Macaca mulatta: one gene and its partners. The protein of the gene in region 2 purifies or fractionates together with the protein of the main gene of each other region. This does not show direct contact. Links are inferred from orthologs where the notes say so. Each region holds a gene or a part of one and is shown on either strand. Other genes may lie near its edges. The genes, in order: AMPD2, SDC2, CAMKV and PDPK1.

Region 1 (7,476 bases), on a different chromosome or scaffold from region 2:
CACTGCCCTAGGGGACAGTCAGTGGACAGGGCCTGGCTGGCCAAAGAGTAAGAGGGGAGAAAAAGGAAGGGAACAGCTCTCCTCATCTCCACACCCACAGCCCCAGGTCAGCCTCCCCTGGCAGTGGCCTTGGTACTCACCACTGTCCTCTGGGCCCTGACTATGGGGTCCCTTAGGAGAGACAGGGCCTTTGCTGGGGAAGAAGCTAACTGGCAGCTGAGGAACTGGCCCAGTCTAGGTAGGGGCCAGTCACTGAGGCTTCCCCGCTGCCCAGCTGCTCAGGGGACTGGTTCACAGGCCCCTAGACTTGCAATCCCTGATCCAAGCCTATCATCAGGGACGGGACAAACTGTCCAGAATAAGTTTGGGAGAAAGGGAGCTAGAATTTGGAGGACATGGGTCTGATTCTGTTCCTGCTTCCAGGCATGTCTCTACCTATCATGGAAGGCTTTGGGTCCTCATCTACAAGTGGGGCGGTAAGTGCTCCCTTCCCTGCCTAGCCACAACTGCCATAAGGCTCACAGAGATAATGGCTCTGCAAGTGTTCTGCAAAACACCAGGCTCTGTGTTGAGGCGAGGCCTGCAATTATGAACTCCTGGGACCTTCAAAATACATCCTACTTGTAGCCCTGCCCACTGAGGACAGTGGGAGGTTCTCTGGGCCCAGGGCAGGGTGAAGGCAATAGGCCAGTAAAGGGCAGTGAAGTGAACTTGGCAGGGGTGGAGATGGGGTGACTATCTCTTTCTTGGAAAAGGACAAAGTAGAAAAAGGAAGAAAAGAGGGGACCCTGCCTCACCACCAGAGTGTAAGACCTTTTCTTGCCCAAGAACCCTGATTCTACACACCTCCTCCCTACATATGGCCCCAGACCACTTCTAACTCCATCTAGGGGAGGCCGACCACAGACCTCCATGGCTAGTTCATATTGGGTTAGCAGGAGTTGAGTCAAAGGCCCAAATCTCAACCCCCTCTCCTAGCACAGGGGTCTGGGGCTCCACAGCAGTTCTGGGGTGAGCAGGACAGATTCCAACAGCCAACGCCATCCCCCCAGCCTGCCAGGCCACTCTCCAGGGCTGCCACAGGCTCACTGAAGGTGACACACAGGCAGTAACCTCTACGTTCTCAGAGGCCAGGCCTAGAAGACTCAGCTGCCTACTGGTCCTTTCTCTAGGGGCCAGCACCACACACATACACCCACACTTACAGAGAAGTCAAGCAAAAGCCAGAGTGGGCCGCTCCAGAGCCACTCCCACCAACTCTGAGATTCTGAGCACCCCATCTCCCCTCTCGACCAGGAGCCCCTCACACACTGCCAGGACTGCCTCAGTAGGCACAGGGGTGTCCACGGCTTTGACCCCACAAGTGTCAGATGCTCTTACCATCTGACCACTGAAGGGTATCCAGTTCTGGGCTAGATCCGTATCAGTTGCCCTATTGCTGAACCAAACAGGGCCAGGGAGGGCCCCACCCAGGGGACACCCTTTCTGGATGGCACAGACCTGGGCACAGAGAACACCCTCAGGGCAGTACAGACCTAGCACTAGGCATCTTCAATGAAACAAGAAAATATAGGAGGTTGATAGTAGGGCTATGGCTACAGACAGCTGCAAGGGTGGGGGGCAGTCAGCATGATCTGGTCATCAAAGTCAGGGTGGGTCTTTCCTTAGCCACAAGGCCTGGGAGCAGACAGCAGGCAGACAGCCCTCTGCAAGCACAGAGCCAGGCAGCCAAGCCCTCACTGAGACAGGCGCTGCTGCACCTCGCTGCCTGCTCCAAATGATGCAGAGATGCTTACTAGAGTGAGAGACGAACCAAAGGGTGCAGGAGCACACGCAGTGCGGGCAGCAGCCCCAGTCTGAAGCCTGCACGGACCTGACCAAGGACGCCCCATACTCCTAAGGAGGCTCATGACATAGACAAGGAACGAGCAAATAGCAAACGATAGATACAGTCAAGCCCCCAGTTGTGGGATGCCAGCCAACAATGGTTGTGCCCAGATGTCAGACCCCCAGTGAGGGGGATCTAGATGTGGGGTCCTAAAAAGTGGAACTAGTCACAGAACAGCCTGAGCCTGCCTGGTAAAGGCACAGGCACCAGTCAGAGTGGCCAGTCCACAAAACAGTCCCACACACCCCCACTCCATTCACACATGCTCCACATGCAGTCTTAGCACATGCACACGCTGACACGTGTGCACACACACCTCTTGCTGCACCCACACCATGCCCACTCCTTGTGACAGAGGACAGCATCCCTGGCACAGATATCTCAGATCCACCCCCACCCCCGGCCACCCCTCACCCCACCTTCCAAGCCGGCTGTCCCTGGGACTGAGGTTAAGAGGCACCACCACAGAGAGGATGCCAGAGGAGGTGGCCTCCTCTGAGGGGACCAGCAGCTTGGGCGAGAGGTGGCAAGACAGAGCCCAGCATCTATCCTGAGGCCAGGAAGCACACACTCACCTGGAGCTGCAGTGGAGGCCTGCAGGCTGGCCCGCTTCTTAAAGGGATATTTGGCCTTGGGCTTGCCAGAGCCAGATGGATAGGATGCCATGGCTGGGACCACGGCGGCGACAGCGGGGGAGTCTGAGCGGCACCGGCTGGGGCCTGGCTCTGCCACATCCAACCCCTTCCTCCGCCCCGCCCCCAGCGGGAGTGACTGATGCAGGAAGCAGCGGCTCCGCAGGCGGAAGAGGCCCCGGCCACGATTTCTCATGTTGTCTAGGCAACCTCGGGGAGTGGGGCCTCCATCTCTGCCCCCTATCCCTCCCCTCCCTCCTCAGTCCCAGGAGTGACGTGACTGATGGTGGCTGGGCTTGGCGGGGGGCGGGGGAGGGAGTGGGTAGAAAAGAAGATGGGGAAGGGCCAGCCCCCAGCTCTCCACTAACCCACCAAGAGCCCTCACCCCATTATGCCAGGGCTCCAGGGCAAAGAAGCCAAAGTCCAGGCTAGCTGGTCCTTCCAGCTAGTCTGGAAGAAAAAAGAATAACAAATAGGAATTCAGCAGCGAGTGAGTCCAAGCTCAAACACAGTCCTCCCGGGGCAGGGCTGGCATACTCCGTGAAAACCCAGCACCCACTTTCCTTCCACATCTGACCCTCAGCTCCGGGGGTAGCTCAGCTCTGGGAGGAGGGGGAAGAACCGAGAATCCCAGCCCAGGAGGGAGGGGCCTGTCTTGGGAAAATTCCACCGTCGCCAAATAGCTACCTCCTAGGAAGGCAGGAAGGCCAGGAGACCCCCTTGTCTGGGGGTCTGGGACAGAGACCCTAGCCTCTTCGGATTTTTCCTCTGGCTCTGCACACTCTGGCTCTGCTCCCCAGGCCCTCGTAGGAAGAGCTGACCGCCTTCCCTACGTCCTGCCGCTGTGCTGTGACTCCCACCCTCTTGTCACCCTGGCCACAGCACTTCTCTGTCCCAGAGACCCTCCCTCCAACACACGTACACACACTCACCTGAAGCCATGGTGTCCGAGTTCCGAGGGGAGGCTGCCCACGAGGGTCTGCACAGCAGAAAGCCCGGGTCCTGAGAGAGGGCAGGGTGGTCGGGCCCCAGACTCCGGCCAAGTCACTCCAAGGGCCCCTGCCCTGGCACTGAGATGGGGAAAGTAAGGCAGTCTTTCAAAATTGCCAGCTGGCCGGAGGTGGACTCCCGCAGATCTCGGCAGCCAGACTGGCCTCAAGGCGACCCCGGTGTCGCGACCACCCAACCCCGCAATCGCAATCGAGAGACGGGTAGGCCACGTGCTCCCAAGGGAGCGGGACCCGGAACTCGTCCAGGTTTCTCGCAACACTCCCTGGGCATTCAGGGTCGGACTCCCGCGGCCGGACTGTGGGGGAGTCACGCAACAGGTGCGACCCCACGAAAATCTCGCCGGCTCCGCGCCAGGCTCTGCGGCCCTTGGCCCCGCCCCCGCCTGGCCCCGCCTCCGCCTGCCGACCCCGCCTCGCCATTTTTTTCTCTTCCTGGGCGCCACGTGGGCAGCCGCCACACCGCGGTAGGGCTGGCCTGAGCTGACCCTTGATCTTGGGGCAGTTTCGTGCGTCAGCTTCCTCATCCGTAAGATGGGGTAATGACAGTACCTCACTCAAAGGGGTTACTGTGAAGATTAAACGTAAAGTCCCTTTACCTAGTGCCTGGCACGAAGTCAGGGCCCAATGAAAGGTAGCTGTTGTTATCGTCCCAGGATTCATTTTAAGCAGAAGTCCTGCCCCTGCAATCTCACCTGGTCGTCTGTTTTCTTCCGGCCGGCATAGGTAGGAGGCTGTGCCCTGCAATTCTGGCTCCCCTTCCCACATTTCTGTATTTGGTGGTTAAGAGCTTTAACTCTAGCCAGAATGTCTGCGTTCAAATCCAGATTTCACCTACTTCCTGATACTGGACAAGTTACCTAACTTCTCTGTGCTTCTGTTTCTTCCGTAAAATGAGTGTAAGAGTACCTGCTTTATATGGTGGTTAAGATGAATGAGTTAATGTAAGTTAACTGCTTAGAACTGTGCCTGGCCTGTAGTTAGCACTTTTTTATTATTACCATTGCTTTAGCCTTGGCCTTGGTTCTCTATTGACACTCACAGGTTGATTCACTTACAGCCGTTCTGGGGTCTGCAGACATCCTATCCAACAAGCATCCCCACTGCCAAGGGGTAGAAAATCCGACCTAAAGGGAACTTGTGGAGGGAAGTCCCTAAGACTTCACTGAATATAATTAAATGCATTAGCAGGAATTAATCTCTTCCCTATTTTCCCTCTTGTGGGAGGCCTTTGCCCCCCAAACCCAGTTGTTCTAATGCTGTTTGTCTGGCTCCTCCCAGTTCTCACCACCCCCACAGCAGAGTTCCTTCCCAAACTCTGCCTGCCTCTTCTCTCCCCACGCTGGATTCTGGACTTTGAACCCTGTGCTCCACCTGCATCTGGTGCCACTTCCATTGATCCCTGTCTACTGTTCCCTGAACAAACTTAAAAAAACTTGGCCTCTTCACCTCACACAGAATCCATAGAACTAAAAAGAGAACAGAGATAACCAGGTTTACCTATCAAAATAGCAAAGACTAAAAAACAAAAAAACAAACACTAATGCAGGTGGCAAGGGTATAGTTAGTGAGATGGGAGACACACACACACGTACGTGTGCACACACATTACTGGTGGCCTTGAACACTGATATAATCTCTCTGAAAGCCATCTGGTAATATATAATCAAAAGTTTCAAAAAGGTTCTTATTATTTGACCCAGTAATCAATTTTCTGGAGTTTTTCTTAAAAAAGCTGCCAGAAAAATATGTATGCAAAAAGTTGCTCAGCACCACAATGTGTATTGCATAGGAAAGTTAGACACTTTAAAGGCCCAACAGTAGGGGAATGTTTATGGAAGATTCATACCATGAAATACAGCCATTAAAAATTGTTCTTGGAGAAATGTTTAATGATGTGGAAATGTTTACAATATAAAGTTAGGTAAAAGAATGGATGCAAAACACTATATACAGAATGGTCCTACTTATGTGATATACATGGGTAGAAAAGAAACACACCAACAAGTTTACCAATGATTATCTGTAGTGGTGGAATTATGGGTTATATTTTATTTATTTGCATTTTGAAAATTATAATACATACCCATAACTTTTATAATCAAGGGACTAGAAATCAACAAAAATCGGTAAAAATCCATAATTGACTCCACAGTCCCCCCAACCCAGACTTCCCTGGGTCTTAACCCCAGACTTAAACTATTCTGTTTACATTTGTGGCCCACTGAATTGGTCTTGGGGCCCTTAGGGATTTTGAGGCTGATGGACTCTCAAGAATGAATAAAATGAATCTCAAAAATCAAGCACCATGTAACTACATAGAATGTCATGTATCTTCTGATAAGATGCAAATGTTGACATAGTTTTAAAGATAGTATCTTGCATTGGGCCAGGCCTCTTGAGCCTCCTGCTTAATGCAGACCTACCTACCTCAGCAGCCAATAGGTGGCAATCCTTGCCCTCCACCCAGCCCAGGCAAACCAGTTCATTAGTCCCTTTATGCTAGTCCCCTAGTCCGATCTGCAACACACCCCTCACTCTACAACCCTCCCCTATTTCCAGGTCATCTGGTGTATTGTGGCTGCTAGGAAGTCGGCCCTGATTACAGTTAAGCATCAGTCCCTCCACCCACTCAATACCAGCAAGAATCACAGTGAGGTTTCATTGTCTATGCAGAATAGAGCTTGGGAAATAAAGGCCTGAGTCATCCTATGGCCTGGGCTTTTTTCACACTGAGGCCTTAACATTGCTTTTGAGCCTCTGGGATCTTCCCTAGCTCCAAACACAGCTTCCTCCCCTCCTAGCCTGTTCCCCACATGGCTCCTTAACTGACCCTCCTGGAATCCCAGCTCCCTAACGATGGTGCACTCCTGTTTCTCTGAAGAACTGCTTTTCTTTACTTCTGGACTTCAGCTCACTGTGATGTCAGCCTCCCTAGCTAGGCCAGAACAATCTTCACAGATACTAAACTTGGGAGAGAATATCTGCATCTCCAAAAAGGTCCTTGGCCAGGGCAATTTCCCAAACCATACCTTATGCCTAGGCCCTTCTAGAAACAAGCTGTTCAGCTCTGCTTTCTTAGCTTCTCCTAGCAGCCAGCTCCCTCTACCACCCACCTCAGTCACCCAGCATTGTGTTTATAGCACCATGCAGCTGTTTCCATCTGTACTTGTTTATAAGACCCCAGTGGATTTTAGCCAAACCCCTTGCCATTGAAGGCGCTTCACTGGCTGGCTCCAATTTCCCTTTCTTGTCCTTATCTTCACCTCCCAGCCCTCCACTCCGTGCACCTTTCACTCCAGTCCAGTCACATCAAAGTCCAGGTCTTCTCTGAGCACACCTTGTACCTTGTACCTCTACCTGTTTTCTCATGCTCTTTCCTTTCCCCAAAACACTAATCTCCCATTTCCACTGTTGTTCTGCTTCTCTGTGGAAAGTCTGTTCATTTCACAATCACCCTTTTCTTTCTTCTGCCATAAAACTTGTCAGACAGTCAGCTGTGTGTTTAATTGCCTTTCCTACCAGGGGTGAATGCTAGGTCTTAAACAGCTCTGAATTTCCCAGCACTACTGCAGTATCCCTTTCACTAATTTGTTTCTCTGTGAATTTCCCCCACCTCTGCCTATGGACTGGAAGGTCCTGAAGGTAGTTCTCATCCTTCATATCCTCCCACTCCATCTGGGACAAGTCTTTACCCACAGTTCACTTAAGACAAAGCTTACCACGGATGTCAGACAGATCCCTTAACTCAGGAAACATGCCCAAATCACTGAGAAACAGTGATTTACTTTTCATCCAAGATGATATGGTTATAAAGGGCTGTGAATCAAAACAACTGAGCTCTGGCTTGGCTTCTGATACTACCTTGCTTATTAATGTGAGGATCACTTTTCTGTACTTCAGTTCACTCACCTCAAAAATGGAAATAGCACTACATACCTTACTTACT
Region 2 (6,830 bases):
GCATGACAGACTTTATTTTGGCACTTTCACAAATATTTTGCTTTACAGCAGTGACAAAATATTTGCCAGAAATTTTTCTTTTCCTGGCACGGATATTCCAAGCAGTTGTTATTCTATGAATTGAATTGCACTCTGCTTTGCACAGTTAGAGGTATAACCGTTCCTACCCTCTGTAATTGAGGGACACTGCGTGGCTTTAGAAAGCACTGTTTCCTTTTAGTCACTCTGAAGTGAATTGACTCTGTACGTGATGGGGCAGGAATTTGAGAATTAATTAAGGCCATTAAGGATTTAAGTAAACACTGTTCCAAGTGTTGCTTAAAAAATGTTTCTAATGAATTCTGTGGCAATTCCAGGGAATGCTCTCAAAATGAAGTATTCATACTTTATTAAAAGTAAATTGTATGTTGGAAAAGTTGCTTTTTTTGCTGTCTTCCTACTTGGATGGCTCACAGTTTAAAACAAAATTAATGGTAAAATAGAAAAAGGAAATGTTTAGTACAGAAAGTACCAGCCAGGGTACCCTCATACCTCCATCTCCTTCCCCAGGCATCACTCTTTCCAGCCACTCAATCCTAAAGCAGTGAGGCCCTCATTTTAACACACAGAGCCTCCTTGCCTACCCTCCTTCCCTGTAACGTGAGCTATTGTAGTCCATTTATTAGTTCTTCGGTTAAGCTTCAGTAGACACTTGGAGCACAGTTGCAAAGGTAAATCAATCTATAGGCCTAAGCCTTAGATACCAACATCAGGAAAGCCCCCTTCAGATCTTTGGAATTTAGAGTCTTAGAAGTTATTTGCAAAAGCAGGCATCTGTCTTAATATTGCCATCAGCTATTCAATAAAGGTTGCAAACTTCGAAATTCCCTGGCAGCCTTCCAATATCTCTACCTAGACACACACAGGATAATACATTCAGATTTCCTCTGGCCAATTCAGTAATAAACAGTCTCATCGACAGGCTCTTTGGTCTTGATTTACAGACACTGTGGAACACTTAGAAATCAAACCCACGTCATCCTTGAGAGCAGACGGCCGTTAGCAAAGGGGAGATGTACATTTGATCAAAAATGTACAAAATTTATAACAGTGACATTTTCAATATTAGGCCACATGATTTATTCAGTAGTTTTTATGTTCCCAAATTACAATTTATGTCTATTCATAAGACTACAAAAGTTACCATTAGAATTGTCTGTGCTTATAAAATACCAACTTTTTTTTAAACTGTTATATATACTCATTAACACCAGTCTGCAACAAGTTACATAGAATCAGAGGCACTTCAAAGGCTTAAAAAGACGTTTACAACTTAAATGCATTTTTAAGAACAAAAACTTATTTTTCTTTAAACCTCTACTCGTACCTTCAAATTGCAAGAAATTAACAAATACAGTGGCCAAAGGAATCTGCAGCAACTTCTTAAAATACTGTTAGCATCTTTGGGTTTGCTGAGGCTTGTCAGTAACTTACATCAAATCCTCCCAAAAGAAGATCTGATTAGATAGATATGACTAAACAGTTTTGTAGTAATAATCCAATTTTACACATTAATTTGCTGTTGCAAATCTGCCCAAAGCTACAGGTAATGAAAAATAAAGCAAGTGTAAAATGGATAGTCTGACACTTAAAAATTTATACAAAGTGGAAGTTAAAGTTTACATATTTGAAAATCACATATACACTAAATTACCATTATCTGAATTTTCCAAAGACAAATTGCACCATGACAGCTACAAAAGGCATAGGGTTTGGTTTTAAGGGCACAAGAAGGGAGGGCAGAGGAGAGGAGGGCGACAACAGATAAATTAACAAAGTAAGACCAACTTGGTAAGGTTAATCTGAGACATGCTGACACAAATGAAACAGCTTTCATCATTGAGTCATAGGAAAAAGACAATCATTTTGTATTTGCGCATAAAAGTTTAAACCAATTCCATGAACATCGAGGGTTTTCATAACATAATATTTTGCCACTGCTATTCACAGAACACTGCAGATGTTAAATTTTATGTTGTTCTAAAGAAATACATGAAATGTTTTAAATACAATGGGATTTTATCATTAAAGTGCCAGAATGGCTCTTTAATGAAAAAAACAAAAAACAAAGATCTTCATTATTCTATGCAAAAGCTTTATTTTGAAAAGTTCAGTGATCTCATAAATAGAGACACTAAGTTGGAGTTTTAAGCATAAAACTCCTTAGTAGGTGCCTTCTGGTAAGCAGCACTGGATGGTTTGCGTTCTCCAAGGTCATAGCTTCCTTCATCCTTCTTTCTCATGCGATACACCAACAGCAGGATAAGAAAAATTGCAAAGAGAAAGCCAATAACTCCACCAGCAATGACAGCTGAAACAATCAAAAGGAAAATGACTTTAGAAGAGATTCAAGGGTTGCAGACGTTAGCTTTATTGTCAAGCCCAATCTGCTTACATTTTTCTAAAAGGCTTAATTTGAAAACCCCAATAAAAAAAAAAACAAAAAAAACTAGATTCAATGAAGCAACCTGGTAACTATGCAAATCTCAAACTCCTCAGGAAGGTACAGTAATTTCTTTGGTTAGTGTTAACAATACCACCCAAAAACCTCAATAAGAAAAAGCTGGCCTTGATCTTCACTCATTCCATACTTGAAAACTACTTTTGTCTTTTCAGAACTCACATTTCATATTCTAATTTTCTAATTGCTTTTTTCAACACAAAACAGTGTAATTGACTTAAAATTTTAAAGAGTATATATGAAAAAAGCATGCAAATTTATTTCTATTCTTGGACTTGAGACTATCAAGTGTTCCTAAATCTTGAAAATTTTCCCCTTTAAAATATGTGCACTTCCATCCAATTAAGTTAAAATAGAAATAACGTTCTTAACACCTTGGGCAGTACATATGTGAACTGCCTTCCCCCTAAAGAACTTTTCCTTCTCTTTATTTTGAAATGTGGAACGCCTTCGAGCAAGACTGATGGATCTTCACACTCTGCCATCTCTCTACATCCAGTTGTTCTGGATCAATTCAGATGTTAACTTTCCCTCTTTTAGGCTACCTCCCATCCCCTGCACGATGGCTGGTGAAGGGGTAGGTTGAGGGAGCTGGTGGACAATAAAGACAATGTTTGCTGAGCCTCTTGCTTCTCGCTGTAGAAGCAAGCATCCGCAAGACTGCTTTCAGCAGAAAGGTGACAGCAAGCTTTGCTGCACTTCTGAATATCACTTAGACTAACAGAAGCCTATACAGGCACCCTCCCACCTGACACCCACCAGGATACTCACCTGCTAGGACTTCTGTCCGTTTAAACAGACTGTCTGAGTGTTTCTCAGTATACACATTTGTATCTTCTTCAGATGGGTCCATTTTCCTTTCTGAGTCAGAGAGGTGAACTTTCTCTTTATCAGTTTCTTCAGGTGACTGGTATGGGAAACAGGGAAAGATTACACTGATTTAAGAAAATGTGCTGGAAGGAAGAAATAATGAGTATACTCCAAAATTCCTTTTTTTTCCCCAAAGAATGAGTTTAGGAAATAGTTGGAATAAACACTTGTGTGATGTTTATAGCAATGGGTGAGTGTCATGATGGACCCATGTAGTTCATGGTTTTGCGTAACACCCATCACATGATCAGGCAAGTCAGAGAGCTAGTGAGTTCATAATAATGCTAAGGACATGGTGAGGTTGTTTTAGTGGACATTTCCTAAGATCTCTACTTTCTCACCACTCTTCTAACTTCGGGTCACCATCTCCCTCCGACTGCTCTAACCCAACAGCACTGCCCCAGTTCTCCTTACTCCTTCACTTCTCAACTACACAGGGCACGATGACAACAGCTCCCTTTCAGATATTCTCTCATGCCTGACTGGGCTTTTCCTGTCCCCACTCTGCAGGGAGCAACCCCCAAGCCTTACTCCTAATGCTTCCCCCTAGTCATATCACCTTCAGCAAACCCTGGACCAGGACTTCCGGGGACTTGGGTTGTGCAAGTAGCTCCTCCCTGATCATATCATACTTCTTTTCTCCACCTGGATTTCCTCACCTGTCTAATGAACAACACTCACAGGGTCTCAGACACTGCACAATGCTCAAGTAGAAATCTACCTCTCACAGCCGCCATCTCTAGTCAGCATTATTCCCAAGAAGTCAGCAGCCTGCAGGACATTAACTGTTGGCTGTACCACCTTTAACTCTACTCGTCAAGTCTAAGTAGTAATTAATTCACTGCTGAATCGGATCAGCCTTCTTTTCTATTCCCATTAATGGCGCTGTATTTTGGGGTGTTCCCAAGTTATCTATTTCGACGCATTTCTTATCATATGTTATCCATGTCACAGCACTGTCAATTTGCCTCCATCTTGCTCTCACATTAACTTCTTCCCTTGGGGTCTCATTTCCACAGCTTTGTTAAGGTGGCCAGCACATCACACCCCAGCTCCCATCCTGCTTCGACCTCAGAACTGTACGTGTTGGGTAGCTTCCAGTCCTCACCCAATCCACCACTTACTCCCAGCAGAAAACCCTGTGAGGCCATTTCCACCACCTCTTCATCATCAAAAATGATTCTTAACATCTGTGCTGTAGTTCAGTGGTCCCCAATCTTTCTATGAAAAAAATACAGGCCTCCTACCAGAGGTTCCATTTCAATTGGTCTGACTTCAGGTCACCATCTCCCTCTGACTGCTCCAATCCAACAGCACTGTCCCAATTCTCCTTACTCCTTCACTTCTGAGCTGTACAGGGCACTATGTAGCTGGCACTGATTTTTATTGCTATTTAAGTTCTCCAGACAATTCTATAGTTTGAGAACCAGTGGGTTAGAGAAGTCCCATTCAAAGGAGTTGTTCATTCTCTAACAGTCTGAAGTTCTTGTTGGCCAACATCACTGATGAAAACACTGTCAACTTCATTGAGGTTTAAGACTAAATGTGGCTGGGTAGGGAGCCTGAGGTGAGAGGATCATTCAAGACCAACCTGGGCAACATGCTTAGACCTCATCTCTACAAAAACATTTTTTAAATTAGCCAGGCATGGTGCTGTGTACCTGTGGAGGATCTCTTGATCCCAGGAGTTGGAGGCTGGGGTGAGCTATAATTGTGCCACTGCATTCTAGCCTGAGTGACAGAGTGAGACCCTGTCTCAAAAAAAAAGACTGCAGACAATAATCCTCAGCTCTACTACTCTTCATAAGTTCCTGAGAGCTTCCTACCATCTTCATTAGGATCCACAGAGTCTAACATACCATGGCTCAGCAAAGCAACTGATTGCTTTCTGAAGGCTAGAGTTCATCCAAAATGGCGGCCTGCTAGTTAAGTCTAGAGGCTTAAAGAGTGTAAGAAGAAAAGACCTCACCTTCTTGGGCTGTGCAAGTAGCTCCTGTGGGACCCTGACGACATCACACTTCTTTTCTGCACCTTAAGGCCACCCTCATTGCTAGGAAGGACCATAAGCTAGACCAGGTGGATTCATTTGTACTCTAGGGTATGTAAGATCAGTAGGTCCCTGTCTCAGTGAGCAGAAAGCTAGGCTTCCACTGAAGGTGGTATGTAATAAAGTACAATAAAGAGTAATTGTCGTTCTCAAGTTGCAAGAAACTCTGTACTATCTAAACCTCAACCTCCTATGCTTTACAAAAAGCAGAGGCCATAGAAAAATGTTCATTGCACTGGTGCACAATATGCACTGAAAAGGTCACGGTCCTCTCTATTACTATGAGAGAAGAAAATTATGATAGGCCTTCCCAGGCCTTCGGGTACCAAAGTAAAGCAGAAGAGAGCAGCACATTGGCAGTATTTTTCCTGATTTTTTTCTATTCTTCTCATGAAAAGCCCATCATTAATTGGCTGCCTGGTGGAAGGACGGACAACAGATCAGAGAATGGATTATCTGGGTTCTAGTCTAGAAACCTTTTCACTGCTCATTAGTACTGCTTTACTATCACAGGTTAGAAAAGGGAAGAGAAATATCAAATAGGTGAATACTCAGGTTTGTGACTAAGGAGAGAGGTAAACAAGTTCTGGTGAGAAATGAAATGGACATAAGCAGTCACTGTAATATGAGAGACTGAGTTTAATTTATCCATATCCACATCATCTTTGTTCCATTGTTATTACAAATCATATGGTTTCACCATGGGATTTTTGGGTCCCTAAAGTCATTTAAGAGAGTTGATCTTTTCAGTTTCCTCTGACTCAGCTTCTGATCCGGCAGGCTGAACAAAGCGTGCAATCCAGGGATCTGAGAGTATGGGGACTGAAGGACTCCACATAACTGGAGCCGCCCTGCAGCTGGAAGTGCACAAGCCTCAAGCAGCTCTGGGTGGAAAATTCATTTTTCAAGTCGAAATGTTTTATCGTATAGAGGCAGAGGCTTGACTAAGAAGAAACCATTTTGTAATATGGAACTAATCTGAAATACCTTAACTCTTGTATGAATATATGTGCAAAATCAATCTGCAAAAAGGCAGCAGGGATGATTAAATGAGGCCAAGTAAAGATCTGCCACATCCATGTCTGGTTGTTTGGATGCCATGGAAATGGAACAGAAGTAAAAGCTTATGAGTGATGCTCTGCTCAAACAAATAATGAGATGGCTTTTTTTGCATTTTAGTCACTTAAATTTATAACAAACTAGAGAGGATATCTGTAACAGTGACATTAATGCCACTGTGAGACCGATTCAAAAGCAAAATCTACACTAATGGTATCCTAGAGGCAATGTTCAATTCGGCTGTACCACATAAAGACCAAAATGAAAAATTTAATCATCATTATTCATGTTATTCATGATCAATATTATCATTATCAGTGCTGTGAACAGTGTTCGACACATAATGATAGCACT
Region 3 (7,387 bases), on a different chromosome or scaffold from region 2:
CATTCCAGACAGGGTTTAAGCCATCTTGTGAGGAACAGCGAGGCAAAGGAGAGGCTTTGAAGATCGTCACTGACTGCATGTCTGCCACCATGGCCACAACCCTGCATCTCCTCCACTGGGGAGAAGCATGTGGCCAGAATCTCATCCTCACAGCTGAGAGCAGAGGCATAGCCAGTTACCATTGCCGGCCACACATTTTCACACAACATCTGCGGGAGGGGGCCTGCAACAGTCCTCTCAGTCTAAGGGCCATGTACTGGGCAGGAGGGTGGTACCTTAGACTGCAGTCTCCCAAGAGGGCTGGGAGGGACCTGTGCCCCAGCTCTGTTGCTTTGCTTACACCATTCCCTCTGGCAAGAGTGCCCTTCCCCCAAAAGCCTCCCGTCAGATTCCTATTTGTCACGGCAGAGTTATTTATAACATTAAAAAAAATTCAGCAACTACCTAAATGTCCAACAACAGGTGACTCGCCAGCTCAACTGTGTCCACTCAATGGTAGGAAGTGTGGGCACTGGCAAGAGCTCTGCCCACCTTGGCTTTCCTGTGGAGCAGCTGCTACATGAGCAAGGTGCTGAGAGCAGAACTGAATCTCTTCTTTCATTGTTATTGCTGACATTGTAAGGTAGTTTGTGCAACACATTGTCCAAAACAATCCTGATGCTCCAAGGCCAGACTCAAATGGTCCTTTTCTGAGATACCTTCCACAACCTCCATGCCCCACCCCCCACCCCACTCCAACAGCTCCCGGCTCTACCAGTGTGGTGTGGGCGGGAGGTTTTGTGCATGCCTGTCCCTGATCCTGGCCCCAGCTTTCAGCTCTGCATATGCACTCATGCCCACTGGGGCCCAGGGCTGGTCATGGGGGTCTATCTCTACCACAGAAAGCTGGGCCTCCACCCCATAATGTCAGCCTGGAGCCATGTCCTGCAGCCTCAAGGCTGAGATGGGAACAGATCTGTCTCCCCTGCCCCCTACTATGGCTGCCTAAATTTCAGCCAGTCACTCCTCCTCCTCCTCCTCACCAGTCTAACTATACTGGCTTGGGGCCCCGGACTTGGCCCCAGGGCAAGGAGAGGAGAAAGAGGGGCCTGGCTTTCAATTAGCACCCTGGTTCCCTCTGCCCACCCCCACTCCACCATCTGCTATCCACTGTTGCTCCCTGGGAGGCTTCCGGTGTGTGCACCAAGCCCTGGGCACCTGCTTGCAACAAAGGAGAACTGGGAGGAACAGTCTAGGGACAGCTCTCAGAAAGGGAGGAGGCCAGGTGGAAGGGGTGTGCATTTCTCACCCCCATGGCCCAGACCCAACACCCAACAATGGAGAGCTCTCCTCTCAGCAACACAGGACCTGAGCTTTTCCTCAGGTACACTTAGGCCATGGAAGGGCACGGGAGCCCCACAACAGTCATTTCCCTAGAGACATGGCTCCCTCCACTCTCTGCAGAGGAACTGAACAGTATGCACTGCGGGCTGCCCAAAGGGAGCTTGTGGGGAGTGCAGGCCCTGGTGCTGCCACTGCCCTCCAGCTGGCTCTCAGGGAGCCTGACAGCCAAGCACTCCCCAGTTACAGCCTGCTCCCAGGGCCCGACCACTGGGCTCAGGGAGTTGAGCCTCCAGCAATCCTGAGGGGTCCTCTGTTGCTGCCCTGGTGACAAATGGTCCCCCAAGGACTCTACTGCATCTTTAGGTAAGTCTGACCCAGGGAAAGCCCAAACAAAACAAAGGCCAAGAGGTCCAGAGGCCCCACATTGGGGTCCTGTCCCCTCCTCCACTGAGATCATCCTGGTTCAGGCCCTACCTGTCATAGACATAAACAGACTTTCCTGCTACCTTGGTCCCCTGCCATGTGGGACTCCAGAGTTTGCAGTAAATCTAGGGAGGCCAGGAGAGGCCCAAGAGGCCTCCAGCTGCCTCCCAACAACTGTAGGCAGCACCTCCCAATTTAGTGGTAGCTGTGAACACCAGCCTGCAGGCACCCCCTACTCTCTGCTGCTCTACTCTCTCAAGGACTGGGGCTGGATTTCCTGCTGCAATGAACATGCTGAAGCCCAAGCCCTGCCTAACTCACAGCTGAGGTGTCACCCACAGGAACAGGGGAGCTGAAGACCTCACTCAAGGTCTATTAGGAACAAGGGCCAAGCTTCTAGACCACCATCCAATTGCTTCAGGGGACTGGTCAAGGGGCTGCCCTGACTGAGCCTCAGGCTCCAGCTAAATCATGGTAGAAGTTCCTACAGCTGAATTTTGCCCATCTAATGAAGGAGTATTGTGGGGAGGTCTCTCCAATCTTGGGGGTGGGCATGCAGTCCAGTGCTACGTCCTGAAAGTTTGGCTCTCAACATGCAGGCAGAGGCAAAGGTCAGCTGTCTCCTCCCAAGCACTTGGGGTCCAAATCTCTGAACCCCTGAAGGAGAATCCACTGGAGGCTCTGCTTCCCTGTGGGTGGAGGAGGGGAAATGCAGAGGAAGGCACTAGAGTAAAGGGTTGCTATGGTGATGGAAGTTTTAAAACAAGGGGAGGGGGAGGGGAGATGTGTTGGTTAGGTCCCTTCTTCAAGAATTCCCTGAGACTTTAGCCTGGCTCCTTCTTCAAGGTTCTGTGACCCAGGTCCCCATCAATAAAGAGGAGGTGGGGAGATTGAGAGAATTTAGAAAAAAGAGAATGGGGCAGAGACACAGACAAAGACAGAACCTGTGATGGAAGAGGAGCAAGGAGATGACAAAGTAAAAGGGACACAGGCACAAAGGGCAGGAAAGGGGAGGTGGACAGGAGTTCTGAAGGGGACGGATGGGTGCCCAGCAGAGCCCTAAGGCCTCCATGGCTATGTGCTCTAAATCGCTGGGCCAGGAGCTATCCATGGTACCTGGACCTTCCAGCTTGCACCCTCCTGTATCCCCCAAACATACACTGAACTTGGCATAGGAGGCACAGCCAAAAGGAGGCCAGCTCCTTGGAGCATCTTGGTGAGGAAGAGGCCAGCTGCTACAGCCCCCCAGTCAGGACAGTTCCCAGCCCATCTCTCTGCCATCACGGCAGCTTAGGTAAAGCAGGTCCAACATGTTGAAGGCAGACGCATAGGGGGATGGAAATGAGGCTTGGATGCCTAGTTGCTTCCCTTTATAGTCCCTCTTCTCAGTTGGCCCAGCTGTACCTAGACCCTCCCAGCCAACCCCTCCCCCATCTGCTATCCTCTCCAGGCTTTGGGTCCCCAGAGCCCCTCTTACAGCTCTGCTTAATCCCCTCTCACCACCCCCAACAGCAGATCCTGCCATGAATGCCAGAAATGGCATCACAAGCAACCCAGAAACAGAATAACTGCACAGCCCTTCCCCTCCCCATGCCTCAGTTTCCCCAAATAGAAACCATGGAATCTGGCCTTCTCCCAGGGCAGAGGACTGCTTGCTTGCCACTGCTTGCTTGCTTGCCTGTGAATGGTGGCCAGGGCATGGGGCTGGAGAGTAAGGCCATCAGAGATATGTGAACAGCCAGCCTAGGAGGGACACCTGAAGGGTCCGCACCAAATACTGTATTAGAAAAGGGAGACCCTTGCCCCACCCTGGAAACCAACCTGACCTTGAGGGGAGTGGAGACACCAATTTCCCAGTTGAGGAAACTGAGGCTCAGAAGTCGCTGGAGCTGCCAGGAATCAACTCTGAGGGTGGGGGAGGGCACCAGGTCTCTGAAGGTAGTCCTGGGGGCTCAAAGCCTGGACTTGGGGGTAAGGGGAGTACAGCACAGGAACTGGACTACTGCAGACTCTGAGCTTTTAGTGTGGGACAGAGGGCCCTGATCCTTAGGAAGGAACCTGGTGGAGCAGGCTCTGCCTGGGAGGTGAGGACAAAAGCAATTTGGCAGAGCTACACGGGGAGGGGGCTGGGGCTCAAGAGCCCAGGGTCTCTGCCAGACAGTACAAGCTGGGGAAGGCAGAAGCTCACGCTGTCACTATCCCAGCCACCTCCTGCCAGGGGCCCTGCTCCCCACCGTGGTGCCACCCTGACCCCCTTCCCAAGTGCTGCTGGCTCGCCCCCGCTGGCACAGCAACACACATGCGGAAAGCACACGTGTGAGCACCAAGCCCCGCACCTCCCAGCAGGAACATGTGCGCCCCCACCCCCACCGTGCACGTGGGTCCATGCACTGGACCCCCGGCTAGCCCCCAGGTGAAGGCTTAGAAGCGGAATTTTGGCTGGGGGGCTGCTGGTCCCCAGGGGCTTGGAGCTTCCTCCCCCACTCCGCGGCAGCCCCGCCCAGCCCCCTCCGGGTTGTCGCCCATAAAGAACTCTCCGTTGTCATGGAAATTAGTGACTGCTAAGCTGGAGGGAAGGGGCCCGGGGACAGTTGGGAGGGGCTGGAGGCGGCTCTGGGAACGGGGAGGGACGGCTCAGCTCTCGGCCCCTATCCTCACGGGGGACCACGAATCTTCGAGGGTTAATCTTTTCATAATTCCGAGCCGCAGAGGCTTCCCCCCAGGATCCCCAAGCCGTCCGAGGTAATGGGGAACTTTAGCCCGACCCCGCACTCCGTCCCCCAAATCTGCAAAGCCCGCGCGCTCTGACCCCGCCAGGACCTCGAGCCCTCACTGCGCCCCCGCGCACTCTGCATCCCGAACCTCGAGCCAGGGAACCAATCCCCCAAGGCCCCACAACGTGAGTTCGGGAAGCGCCCCCAGCCCGGCCAGCCCCGCACCTGCAGCGCCGGTTGGTCACACGGAGGAAGTGATCGCGGGCTCAGCGGGGCGCCGAGGGCTCCGGGGACGGCGGGTAGAATCCGCTCCGAGCACGCGGGGCAGACGCGGCGCCAGATGCAGCCGCTTCGGCTAGCGAACCTCTAGCATCGCCAGCCGCTTGCCGGCACCGGATTCGCACCCCGGGCCGGGGGCGGGCTGGGGGCGGGGCCTCCCAACCGGCCCCGCCCCGACCCTGGCGGAGCCTTAAGGGCAGAATCCCACTGGAGAGCAGGCTCGCGCGGGATGGCAGCGGTGCTGGTGAGCACTGGCCTGCTTAGCCCTGGCTAAGGTTCTCAACGGCTTCCTTAGGCCCTCAGCCTGGGGTCGGAGGGGGCCTCCTATGCCCAATGTAAGGGGTGGGGAGTGGAGAGTTGGGGGAAAGCCTGAGTCCTTGAGCTGCATAGGATCGCTTGCCAGCCATTAGTCTCTAGGGAACCGGGGCTTTGCCCAGCTCCCCGAACCCGACCCAAAAGGCAGGACCAACTTAGAAAAACCAGATGGGCAGTCGGGCTAGGGCAGGCTCCCCTACAGACTGGCATCCCCTAGCTAGGAGCAGTTAATACACAGAGGTGTCTGTTTGCAGGTAGTCAGTGTGAAAACAGTGAGTGCCCTAGACTCTGGAAGCAAAGTCTCCTATCCCACCCCACCCCCAACTCCTGCAAGGCCAGTCTTTCCCAACCATAAGCCCCAGCAAGGGTGACTGGCACAGTCAGCCCCCTCCTGTATGGCACCAAATTTCCCAAACTATAAAAGTCACCTGTGACATGGTGTGGCCTCTGCTTTCTTTTCAGTCTAATCACTCTCAAACACTTCATGACTAGCATCACTCTAGGTGGCCTGGCCTGGGATATAGGGACACAGGAGAACTGTGGCACCAAGGTATCTCACCCGGCCTGGGCGCTAATCAGAGGGAGGAGGCTCAGAACCACCAGGAGGAAGCTTTGAAGGAAGTCCTTGGCCATTTCTCTGTCCCTTGTCAGTGAGGCTCATGGACCCAAAGCCTGACCCACACCCCTCACAAGCCCTGAGGACCATCCTAAGGCCAGTATCTGAAAGCCAGACTCAGGCCTCTCAGTGTCTGGAGCTGGGCTTTATCCCACCCCACTCCTCCCAGCAAGCCTCCTGACCCTGCTGTGGGAGAGGGAGTTGGGGTCATCCCCAAACCCTCAGCCATCTTGAGGCTCCCCTGCATGGCCACCCATGGCCGATGACAGGAGGGACTGTCCAAGTCCAGAAGCTGGGGCTGGGGCTCAGACTGGAAGGCTAGCTTAGGAAATGACCGCCTCAAACAAGGTTCCTCAAAATTTTCCTCCAGAGTGGGTACTGAGCCCTTCACATTCCTCCCTGGCTTGGGGTTACCTCCTCTGGGCCAGGCTGGTGCCACTTCTGGGGTCCCTGGGTTCTGAGTGGTCTCGGGTTATGGGATCCACCCCACCACTGGGTAGGAATCTCCTGGCAGGCTGGGTATCTGCAAGGCAGAACCCGTTTCTCATATCAGTATGCTCGGCTGATGTCTGCAGAGTGAATGAATGGCCTGGCACTGAGTCCTTCCTGCCATCTGCCCACTATTCTTGAAACAATGGGTCTCTGAGTTTTATGGTGTAGCCAAGCTGTGGCTTGCTGACCCCACACATGCCACACACTTGTTTTCTGTCTTTCCTGAGGGTCATGGCTATCCAGGCATGGGGTCAAGGAGAAGCTGGAATGGGGATGTTTAGGCAGGGGAAGGGGTGGCTTCTTAGCGCCCTGCCTGCTGCTGGCAGTACTCCACCTCTTCTTGGTCCTAAGCACGCTCTGTGCATGTGGGTGAGAGCACGTGGCAGGGTGTGTGTGCACACGTGTACGTGTGTGTATGCTGTCTTTTGCCGAGGGAGATGCAACAGCATAGTGTATGCAATGGTGCCCAGGGGCACGTGTGTCTGCATTCTTTGTGCACCCAGGCATGCTTGCTGGCACGTGTGTGTGGACTCTGTAGCTGGTCCCTGGAGTTGTCAGTCCCCTTCCTGCCTGACACAAGTCTCAGGATTGTGGAGACTGAATCAGGCTTTGAGAGCCGGACATGGGAAGGGGGCTGGACCATGTCCAGGGGCGGGCAGGGTCTGTGCTGACCCTACATCATTGGTTGTTTTCAGGCTCCCCACCAGAGCAGCCCCTTGATCTCTGGTGTATGTGAAGATAGACAAGTCTTTGCCATTTGTGGAGGGCAATCTGAAGACAAGAACCCAAGGCTAGGATTGAGCCATGGCTTATCCCTCAGCCCGCAGACAGGAAGGCACAGGCAGGGTAGGACCGGCTTCAATGTTTTGGCTTCACCTCCAGCTGCCTTTCAGGCAGGAGATAGTAACACCAGCTGAATGCCATCCTCTTAGCTCTTCCAGGGCAGGGACTGGACCAATGCTGAGCTTTGTTCTTACTTCTACTATTCAAAGCCAGATGGGGTCAGGGGACATGATTTCTTACCACTCCACTGGCCAGAGGGATGGCAGGAAGTCCTTTAGCACAGAGCACAGTTTGGAAGAAGAGCAGAGGCAATTGAGATTGGCATTGCCTAGTAGCCTTTATGAGGATACTCCTAAGGAGGCCTGTTCCCTGAAGACAGGGGCTGCCTGGGTTGGGAGGCTGAGGAGGAGAAGAGGGCCCAAGTTCATAGTTCTGGCTCCCA
Region 4 (7,410 bases), on a different chromosome or scaffold from region 2:
AGCACCCTAGCCCTCGCACCTGCTCGGGGGACTGTTTCTGCACCCAGTGCTTCTCCGCAGCCACAACCTGCCCCCCACAGAACTGCTGTACCATGTGGCATCCTGTCCAAGTCCATTTCCACAGAAGATGCCTCTTCAGAGGGGGAAAGTGCCACGCCAGTGCCCACTCTCTTCCAAACACATTCTCTCAGAAGGGACTGGCCATGCTCGCCCCCTCATTTCTGCAGCGCTTCCCAGTTCATCATCTGCTTGCTGGACTCCATCTCCCACCCGTGTCAATCACTTGCTCTGAAGCATCTAAACCCTGGGTCAGGCGGCTCAGGGGATGAATGTATAGATTGAAAAGGGACCACTGCTGGGCACGGTGGCTCATGCCTGTAATCCCTGCACTTTGGGAGGCCGAGGTGGGTGGATCACGAGGTCAGGAGATCAAGACCATTCTGGCTAACACGGTGAAACCCCATCTCTACTAAAAATACAAAAAATTCGCCAGGCGTGGTGGGCGCCTGTAGTCCCAGCTACTTGGGAGGCTGAGGCAGGAGAATGGCGTGAACCCAAGAGGCGGAGCTTGCAGTGAGCCGAGGACGTGCCACTGCACTCCAGCACACTAGGCTGGGCACAGTGGCTCACACTGGTAATCCTAGCACTTAGGGAGGCCAAGGTGGGCGGATCACGAGGTCAGGAGATCGAGACCATCCTGGCTAACAAGGGGAACCCCCATCTCTACCGAATACACAAAAAATTAGCCGGGTGAGGTGGCGGGCACCTGTAGTCTCAGCTACTTGGGAGGCCGAGGCAGGAGAATGGTGTGAATCCAGGAGGCAGAACTTGCAGTGAGCGGAGATCGCACCACTGCGCTCCAGCCTGAGCAATAGAGCGAGAGACTCCACCTCAAAAAAAAAAAAAAGAAAAAAGAAAAAAAAAGGGAACGCTCCCTGTTCCTCCCCAAAACTGTGCTGAATGCAGTCTAGAGGGCCAAGGCCTGCTGAGAAGACCTGCCCAAGGCCTCTTTTCAGGCCCCACATCTCTGCAGGCTGCTGCTGGATCTTTCTCATAAAACACATCTCAGAAGAGCCAAACAAACCACTTCCCTCTTACTACTGGGACCTCACCTTGCCAACTCTGGACTCAGCTTGGACTGGCTGTCGGGGCATCGGTGGGAACAGGGATACATCACACTATGCACCAGACCAGCCACATAAGGAGGAACTCCCCAAAAGGAGGGAGAAAATCGAAAGCCACTGCTCTCCATGCTCTCTGCTTCTCCCCTCACCTTCCCCTAAGGATGCAGCCACCTTTGCAAAAGACAGAACCACCCTAGGGAGGGCAGGAGCCCACTCTGCCTAGTCCCCCAATTCTACCTTGAGCAAAATCATTACATGTTTCTTTGTTCCAAAGGGAGGATTCCAAGCCTCACCCATTCAGAGTATCGGCCCTGAAACAAGGCCGAATCACAGCCTCTTTCCAAACAGCTGCTTTCTGACAGCAGGAGGCTGAAACAGGCCCCGGGGTCACAGAGCTCAGCCATCTGCCAAAGAAATATGTACAGTCAATCCACATGAAGACACCCCTCCTGTCTCCAGCAAGGCATGGTCAAGACGTTCAGGCCCAATCCCCGGGAAGACATCCTGGACGGTGGCACTGAAGACTTCCTTACACAGAGTGCTGGGCTGAGCTGCCCGGCAGACCCTCCCTCGGGGGCTCTGAACGTGAGGGGCAGGGTGACACTGGAGTTTCTACCACTTATGAGGCAGGTACTTAACGTCTCTGCAGCTCAGCTTCTGCACCTGTAACATGGGAACAACAGCTACCTTGCAGTGAGGTGTGAAAGTACCTAGGAAAGCGCCTGGCTTAAGTAGTCAGCTCAAGAAATGGTACTCACTGCCTCTGGCCCACTTAGCATCAGACTGGGCCAGGCCACTGTCTGCCTTCACGCTCGCACTGCTCCCTCTGTTGGCTGTCCACGCATACACACGTGGGAAAGTTCACCGGGCAGGGGCTTCTCACACAGGGCCTACAGGGCCACCCTAAAGTCCAGATGCAAACCCACCCCAACCCTGAAGTGAAAATACAATATTAGGGCTGCCTCCACCATTATGGACAGGAAACACAGCATGTTCTCACATATGTACACATGTGGAAATCCAGCTGACAGAGATGCAAAAGCCTCGTTCCTGACACTTCCTCATGTGGAAATCTATCCTGTATTCTATCATTCTTGCTCACTGGATTCTAATGTTTTTGTACAAAAAAGCTGCCTTATGTGAAGAATACTGCAGATACTAAATGTCCACCATGTGGAACTGCCAAGGCCGTGAGAAAATTTGTTCTTTCCTCTTCCCGTGGATGACACCAAATATACACCTTGCATTGCAACAGCGTTACTGGGTGCGAGTTACAAACTTCGCCATGACTGTCACTGGGTGCAGGTTAACCTCACAAACTTCGACATGACTCTCGGCCCCAGCCTCCGCTGAGCCTCAGCAAGCCGCCTAATTCATGTTTGTTTTTTTTTTTTTGAGACGGAGTCTCGCTCTGTCGCCCAGGCTGGAGTGCAGTGGCGCTATCTCGGCTCACTGCAAGCTCCGCCTCCCGGGTTTACGCCATTCTCCTGCCTCAGCCTCCCGAGTAGCTGGGACTACAGGCGCCCGCCACCTCGCCCGGCTAATTTTTTTGTATTTTTAGTAGAGACGGGGTTTCATTGTGTTAGCCAGGATGGTCTCGATCTCCTGACCTCGTGATCCGCCCGTCTCAGCCTCCCAAAGTGCTGGGATTACAGGCTTGAGCCACCGCGCCCGGCCCCTAATTCATGTTTTTATGTTACCCGGGGCACTCTGGGGTACAGCCACACAAGTCGAAATAGCGAAAGGCATCTCTTTCAACCCTTCGACATTTTTCTCAACTGAATATTCTTCCTTAACACTTCGGATTATCACGCATCTCTACAAAGTCCACAAGTGAGCTGCAGAAAGTTCAAGAGCCTCCTGACATAGTTACAAAATTCAGTGTCGCACTGCATTTTTCTCGGAAGAGGGCCCATACCTTTCCTCAGGTTCTCAGACTCACTACACCCCCATACACACATAAAAAAAGATCAAGAACGCCTATCAAAAAGCCACGCCTATCAAAAAGCCACATCTGCCAGGCACGGTGGCTCATGCCTGTAATCCTAGCACTTTGGGAGGACTAGGCGGGCAGATCACCTGAGGTCAGGAGTTCAAGACCAGTCTGGCCAACATGGCGAAACACCATCTCTATTAAAAATACAAAAATTGGTCGGGCATGGTGGCACACGCCTGTAATCCCAGTTACTAGGGAGGCAGCAGCTAGAATCACTTGAAGCCGGGAGTTGGAGGTTGCAGTGAGCCGGGATCGCATCACTGCACTCCATCCTGCGCGTCGGGAGCGAGACTCTATCTAAAAAAAAAAAAAAAAAAAGCCGCATCCGATAAAGGATCAATTACATTTCTTGAGTTTTCCTTCATTTAAAATATTCACCTTTTAAATCAAATTTTAAAGCTATGTAGACGTTCTTCCATCACCCACTGCGCATCGCATACAAGGCATAAATTCTTAAACCATCGTCCCCAGACTGTAGAACTTAGCATATGGAAAACATAAAAACACGAGGAATACTTTTAGCGACAGAAAGAAAATATAGAAACACCAGCGACACTTTTAGCAAAACATTTCACCCAACAAGTGGTTTGTTTCGGTCCTTCCCGTAAAATCCCTCCTACCTGTCAAGCTCACTTTCCCCTCGGTGATCCTGCACATTCGGCCTCCCAGGGGCTTCCCACAACGCTGAGCACAGCCACGGGCAGGAAAAGCACCCAAATGCCCCTTGGCCAGGCCGTGAAAGGAGAGTTTACCCGACCACTGTCATCGAGAATCTGGAGACGGGGGCCCAGGCGCATCAGGTGCTTTAAGCAAGAACTTGCACCTTCTGCTTCTCTCGCAGGCGGAGACGCCAGGGACCCCGTTCCAGGTGGAAGCCCAGGGCGGTTCCTCTACAGACAGAACCGAAAGGTAACCCTGCAGGCTCGACTCCAGGCTGCGCCGAGCCGAAAACAAACTTTCCAGGCACTTCCACCCCGCTGGGCCGGGTGACACCTCCCGGCCTCCCCCGCCCTCCGCGCGTCTGTCAGCGCCCCCGGCCAGGCCGGCGCCCGCCGCAACCCAGGCCCGGACTCCCCGCCGCAGCCGAGCAGCGCCCTCGGCTGGCGCCCGCCATCCCCCGCCCGGCCGCCCGGCTACAGGTGAGGCGGCACCCGGCCCTGGGGATCCCGGGCCGCCCCGCCTCGCCGGACCCAGGCGACCGCCGCACCCGGCGGGGTAACAAGCCGGCGCGCCCAGGCCACCGGCGCGCCCAGGCCGCCGCCGCGCGCTCACCAGCTGGCTGGTGGTCCTGGCCATGGGCCCCGCGTCGGCGCGGGCGCCTCCCCCGCAGCGCTGCGCGTCTCGGCGCCTCCTCAGCGTCCTCCTCCCCGAAGCGGAGCCCCAGCAATGGCCGCCCTCATCCTGCGCCCGCCCCGCCGCCCGCCGCCCGCCGCCCGCCGCCCGCCGCCCCCGGCGCCGCCCCGCCCCCGCGCGACGCCGGGCAGGACTTCCGTCGCGCCGCAGCCGCCGCCCGCGCCCATTGGCCGCGCCCAGCGTCGCTCCGCCGCGGCCTGAGTGGGCCCCGCCTCCGCCCCAGCTGCATTTCCGGGTTGGGGCCTAGCAGGCGGGAGAGGCCCGGCCCCACCTGGGGAGGGGGACCTCGCACCAACCAATCCCAGGGCCTGCGGGGCGGGGCTGGGCGGGGCTGGGCGGGGCAGGGGGCGAGCTGTCATTCCGGGCTCCCAGATCGGGAAACTGAGGCTCAGAGGGGACCGGGCTCCGACCAAGGTCACGCCCGAGGTAGCGGCGGCGCTGTGCTCGAACCCGGAACTCGGATTCCGGAGCTGGCTCTATGTAAACTCGGAGGTGCAACTTTGCTAGTTTCACAACTAACAAGCGTTCACGGAAGGAAATCTGGGCTATAAAGTCACATTCATGGCCGTGCGCGGTGGCTCACTTTGGGAGGCCGAGGCGGGCGGATCACTGAGGTCAGGAGTTCCAGGCCAGCCTGTCCAACATGGAGAAACCCCATCTCTACTAAAAATATAAAATTAGCCGGGCGCTTTGTAGTTGTTAATGTCGATGATAGTTAAAAGTGTTTGGGTTTGATTTTGGTTTTTTTTTTTTTTTTTTGAGATAGGAGTCTTGCTTTGCTGCCCAGGCTGGAGTGCAGTGGCTCCATCTGTGCTCTCTGCAACTTCCGCCTCCCGGGTTCAAGCGATTCTCCTGCCTCAGCCTCCCAAGTAGCTGGGAATACAGGCATGTGCCACCACGCACGGGCAAATGTTTTGTATATTTTTGTAGATCCTGGGTTTCACCATGTTGACCCAGCTGGTCTCGAACTCTAGGGATCTGCCTGTCTCAGCCTCCCAAAATGCTGGGATTACAGGCGTGAGTCACCACGCCCAGTCAACTTTTTTTTTTTTATATTGACACATGGCCATGTAGTTCTTGAGTAATGCACAGAGAAAAAGGAAGCAGTGAAGAATAAACAGCTTGAAGAACTAGCACACGGTGAACTCTAGAACACGGAGCCCAGGGTGGAGGAGCCTCAGCGGCAGGGGCCAGGGGTCAGGAGGACGCTGTTCCATGAAGAAAGCATCTGAGCAGGCACCAGGGGGCAGAGGAGAGGGGCAGCTGAAGGTGAAGAAAGGACAGTTCTCAGTTGTCCTGGGGGCCCCAATGGCAGCCAGAATGCTTGGCCAAGCCCAAGGCAAGGAGACCGGGAAGCACCTCTGCCTTCTGGAGACAGAGACAAATCTCCCCTTGAGTCACGTCCAGCTTCCCATCCCAGGACACCACACAGACAGTGGATGTCTCACCTGGCCCAGCACGATTCTCCGGACCCGGGCTGGAGGAAGGAGACTGACCCCTCTCTTTAGCTCACCCTTTCCTGCCCAGAACCTCTGTCCATGGCCAATGGATGACCTCAGGCCAAGAATGCAGTAAGTTGACCTGATGTTGTGAGGTCACAGTCCATCCAGGGAAGAGCCAGAAGATGACCAGGACCATCCCGGGAGGGGCTGGAAAGCTGCCTCATGTGTGTGGCCCTGTGCTGCATCTATGCATTCCTCACTCACCTCTACAACTCTCATGGCACAAGGGAGGAAATGGGGGTGCAGAGGCTAAGGAACATGCCCAAAGCCCTACAGCTGGTGTATTAGTTATCTACTACTGTGTAATAAATTGCCCCAAAACTTAGATGTGTAAAACAACAAAGACATCTAACTCATGGTTCCTGTGGGTCTGGAATCCAGGAGAGGCTGGGCTGGGTGGTCTGCCTCAGGCTCTCGTGAAGTTGCCATGAAGATGCAGCCAGAGCTGAGTCATCAAAGGCTACAGCAGGGCCGAAAGATGCACTTCCTAAAAGGTTCATTCCCACATTCCCACAGCTATGGGCTGGAAGCCTCAGTCCCTCACCACATGGGCATCTTCAAAGGGGTGTGTTTTTTCAAGCCCCGACAGCTGGCTTTCCCCAGAGCGAGTGTCCCAAGAGAAAGAGAACACACGCAAGATAGAAGCTGCCATGTCTTTAATGACCTAACCTCAGAAGTGACACACCATCACTTCTAACACATCTGCTGGTCACACACAACAACCCTGATAGAAAGAGATCGGGTGTGCTTTGGGAGGCTGAGGCAGGAGCACTGCTTGAGGCCAGGTGTTTGAGACCAGCCTGGGCAACAAAGTGAGACCCTGTCTCTAACAACAACAAAAACTTTAAATAAAATGTTTTACAAAGTGAAACAAGGTTACACAAGGGTATGAAGGTTACACAGGAGGCGTCATTACTGGGGGTCCCCTTCAAGCTAGTTGAGGACAGAGCCAGGATTCCAGTCTCAGGCAGAGTCAGAAAGAAGCAAGAAGCACAGGCCCGGCCTGGATCCTGCAGGTGTGCACACCAGAAGGCTCTGAGTTTCAAAACCAGGGAAGGAAGGGCTCTCCCAGCAAGGATCCCAACCTGGTTGGCATTTCTAGACTGACGCTGCAGCTACTCAGTAGCATCTGGAAAGGGGACTAAAGGGGAAAATGGGGGGCAGGGAGATCAGGTGAGAGAAAAGGGGGCTCTCAAAAGACAACAGCACTGGCCGGGTGCGGTGGCTCACACCCGTAATCCCAGCACTTTGGGAGAGTGAGGCAGGTGGATCACTTGAGGTCAGGAGTTGGAGACCAGCCTGGCAAACATGATGAAACCCCGTCTCTACTAAAACTACAAAAGTTAGCCAGGCATGGTGGTGGATGCCTGTAATTCCAGCTACTCAGGAGGCTGAGACAGAAGAATCTCTCTTTTTTTTTTCTTCTCAGGGGAAA

Evidence for each region.
Region 1: the proteins of SDC2 (region 2) and AMPD2 purify together in Homo sapiens (co-immunoprecipitation; 3 studies listed by BioGRID and IntAct, counting the BioPlex papers as one, with this or other methods). This does not show direct contact. The link is inferred for Macaca mulatta from reciprocal best matches to the Homo sapiens genes SDC2 and AMPD2.
Region 3: the proteins of SDC2 (region 2) and CAMKV purify together in Homo sapiens (affinity purification with mass spectrometry; 3 studies listed by BioGRID and IntAct, counting the BioPlex papers as one, with this or other methods). This does not show direct contact. The link is inferred for Macaca mulatta from reciprocal best matches to the Homo sapiens genes SDC2 and CAMKV.
Region 4: the proteins of SDC2 (region 2) and PDPK1 purify together in Homo sapiens (affinity purification with mass spectrometry; 4 studies listed by BioGRID and IntAct, counting the BioPlex papers as one, with this or other methods). This does not show direct contact. The link is inferred for Macaca mulatta from reciprocal best matches to the Homo sapiens genes SDC2 and PDPK1.

The regions. Positions count from the first base shown.
Region 1 is NC_133406.1:130,581,352-130,588,827, forward strand, and holds the start of AMPD2 (AMP deaminase 2), read right to left. Parts: upstream 3,900-7,476; 5' UTR 3,463-3,899; coding exon of another isoform or gene 3,453-3,462; intron 2,971-3,452; 5' UTR 2,717-2,970; coding exon 2,464-2,716; intron 1-2,463. UniProt on the Homo sapiens protein: AMP deaminase plays a critical role in energy metabolism. Catalyzes the deamination of AMP to IMP and plays an important role in the purine nucleotide cycle.
Region 2 is NC_133413.1:107,003,598-107,010,427, reverse strand, and holds part of SDC2 (syndecan-2 precursor), read right to left. Parts: intron 3,408-6,830; coding exon 3,272-3,407; intron 2,351-3,271; coding exon 2,187-2,350; 3' UTR 1-2,186. UniProt on the Homo sapiens protein: Cell surface proteoglycan which regulates dendritic arbor morphogenesis.
Region 3 is NC_133407.1:113,341,982-113,349,368, forward strand, and holds the start of CAMKV (caM kinase-like vesicle-associated protein), read right to left. Parts: upstream 4,868-7,387; 5' UTR 4,686-4,867; intron 4,380-4,685; exon of another isoform or gene 4,306-4,379; intron 1-4,305. UniProt on the Homo sapiens protein: Does not appear to have detectable kinase activity.
Region 4 is NC_133425.1:3,776,235-3,783,644, reverse strand, and holds the start of PDPK1 (3-phosphoinositide-dependent protein kinase 1), read right to left. Parts: upstream 4,509-7,410; 5' UTR 4,417-4,508; coding exon 4,393-4,416; exon of another isoform or gene 4,362-4,392; intron 3,439-4,361; exon of another isoform or gene 2,834-3,438; intron 926-2,833; exon of another isoform or gene 391-925; intron 1-390. UniProt on the Homo sapiens protein: Serine/threonine kinase which acts as a master kinase, phosphorylating and activating a subgroup of the AGC family of protein kinases.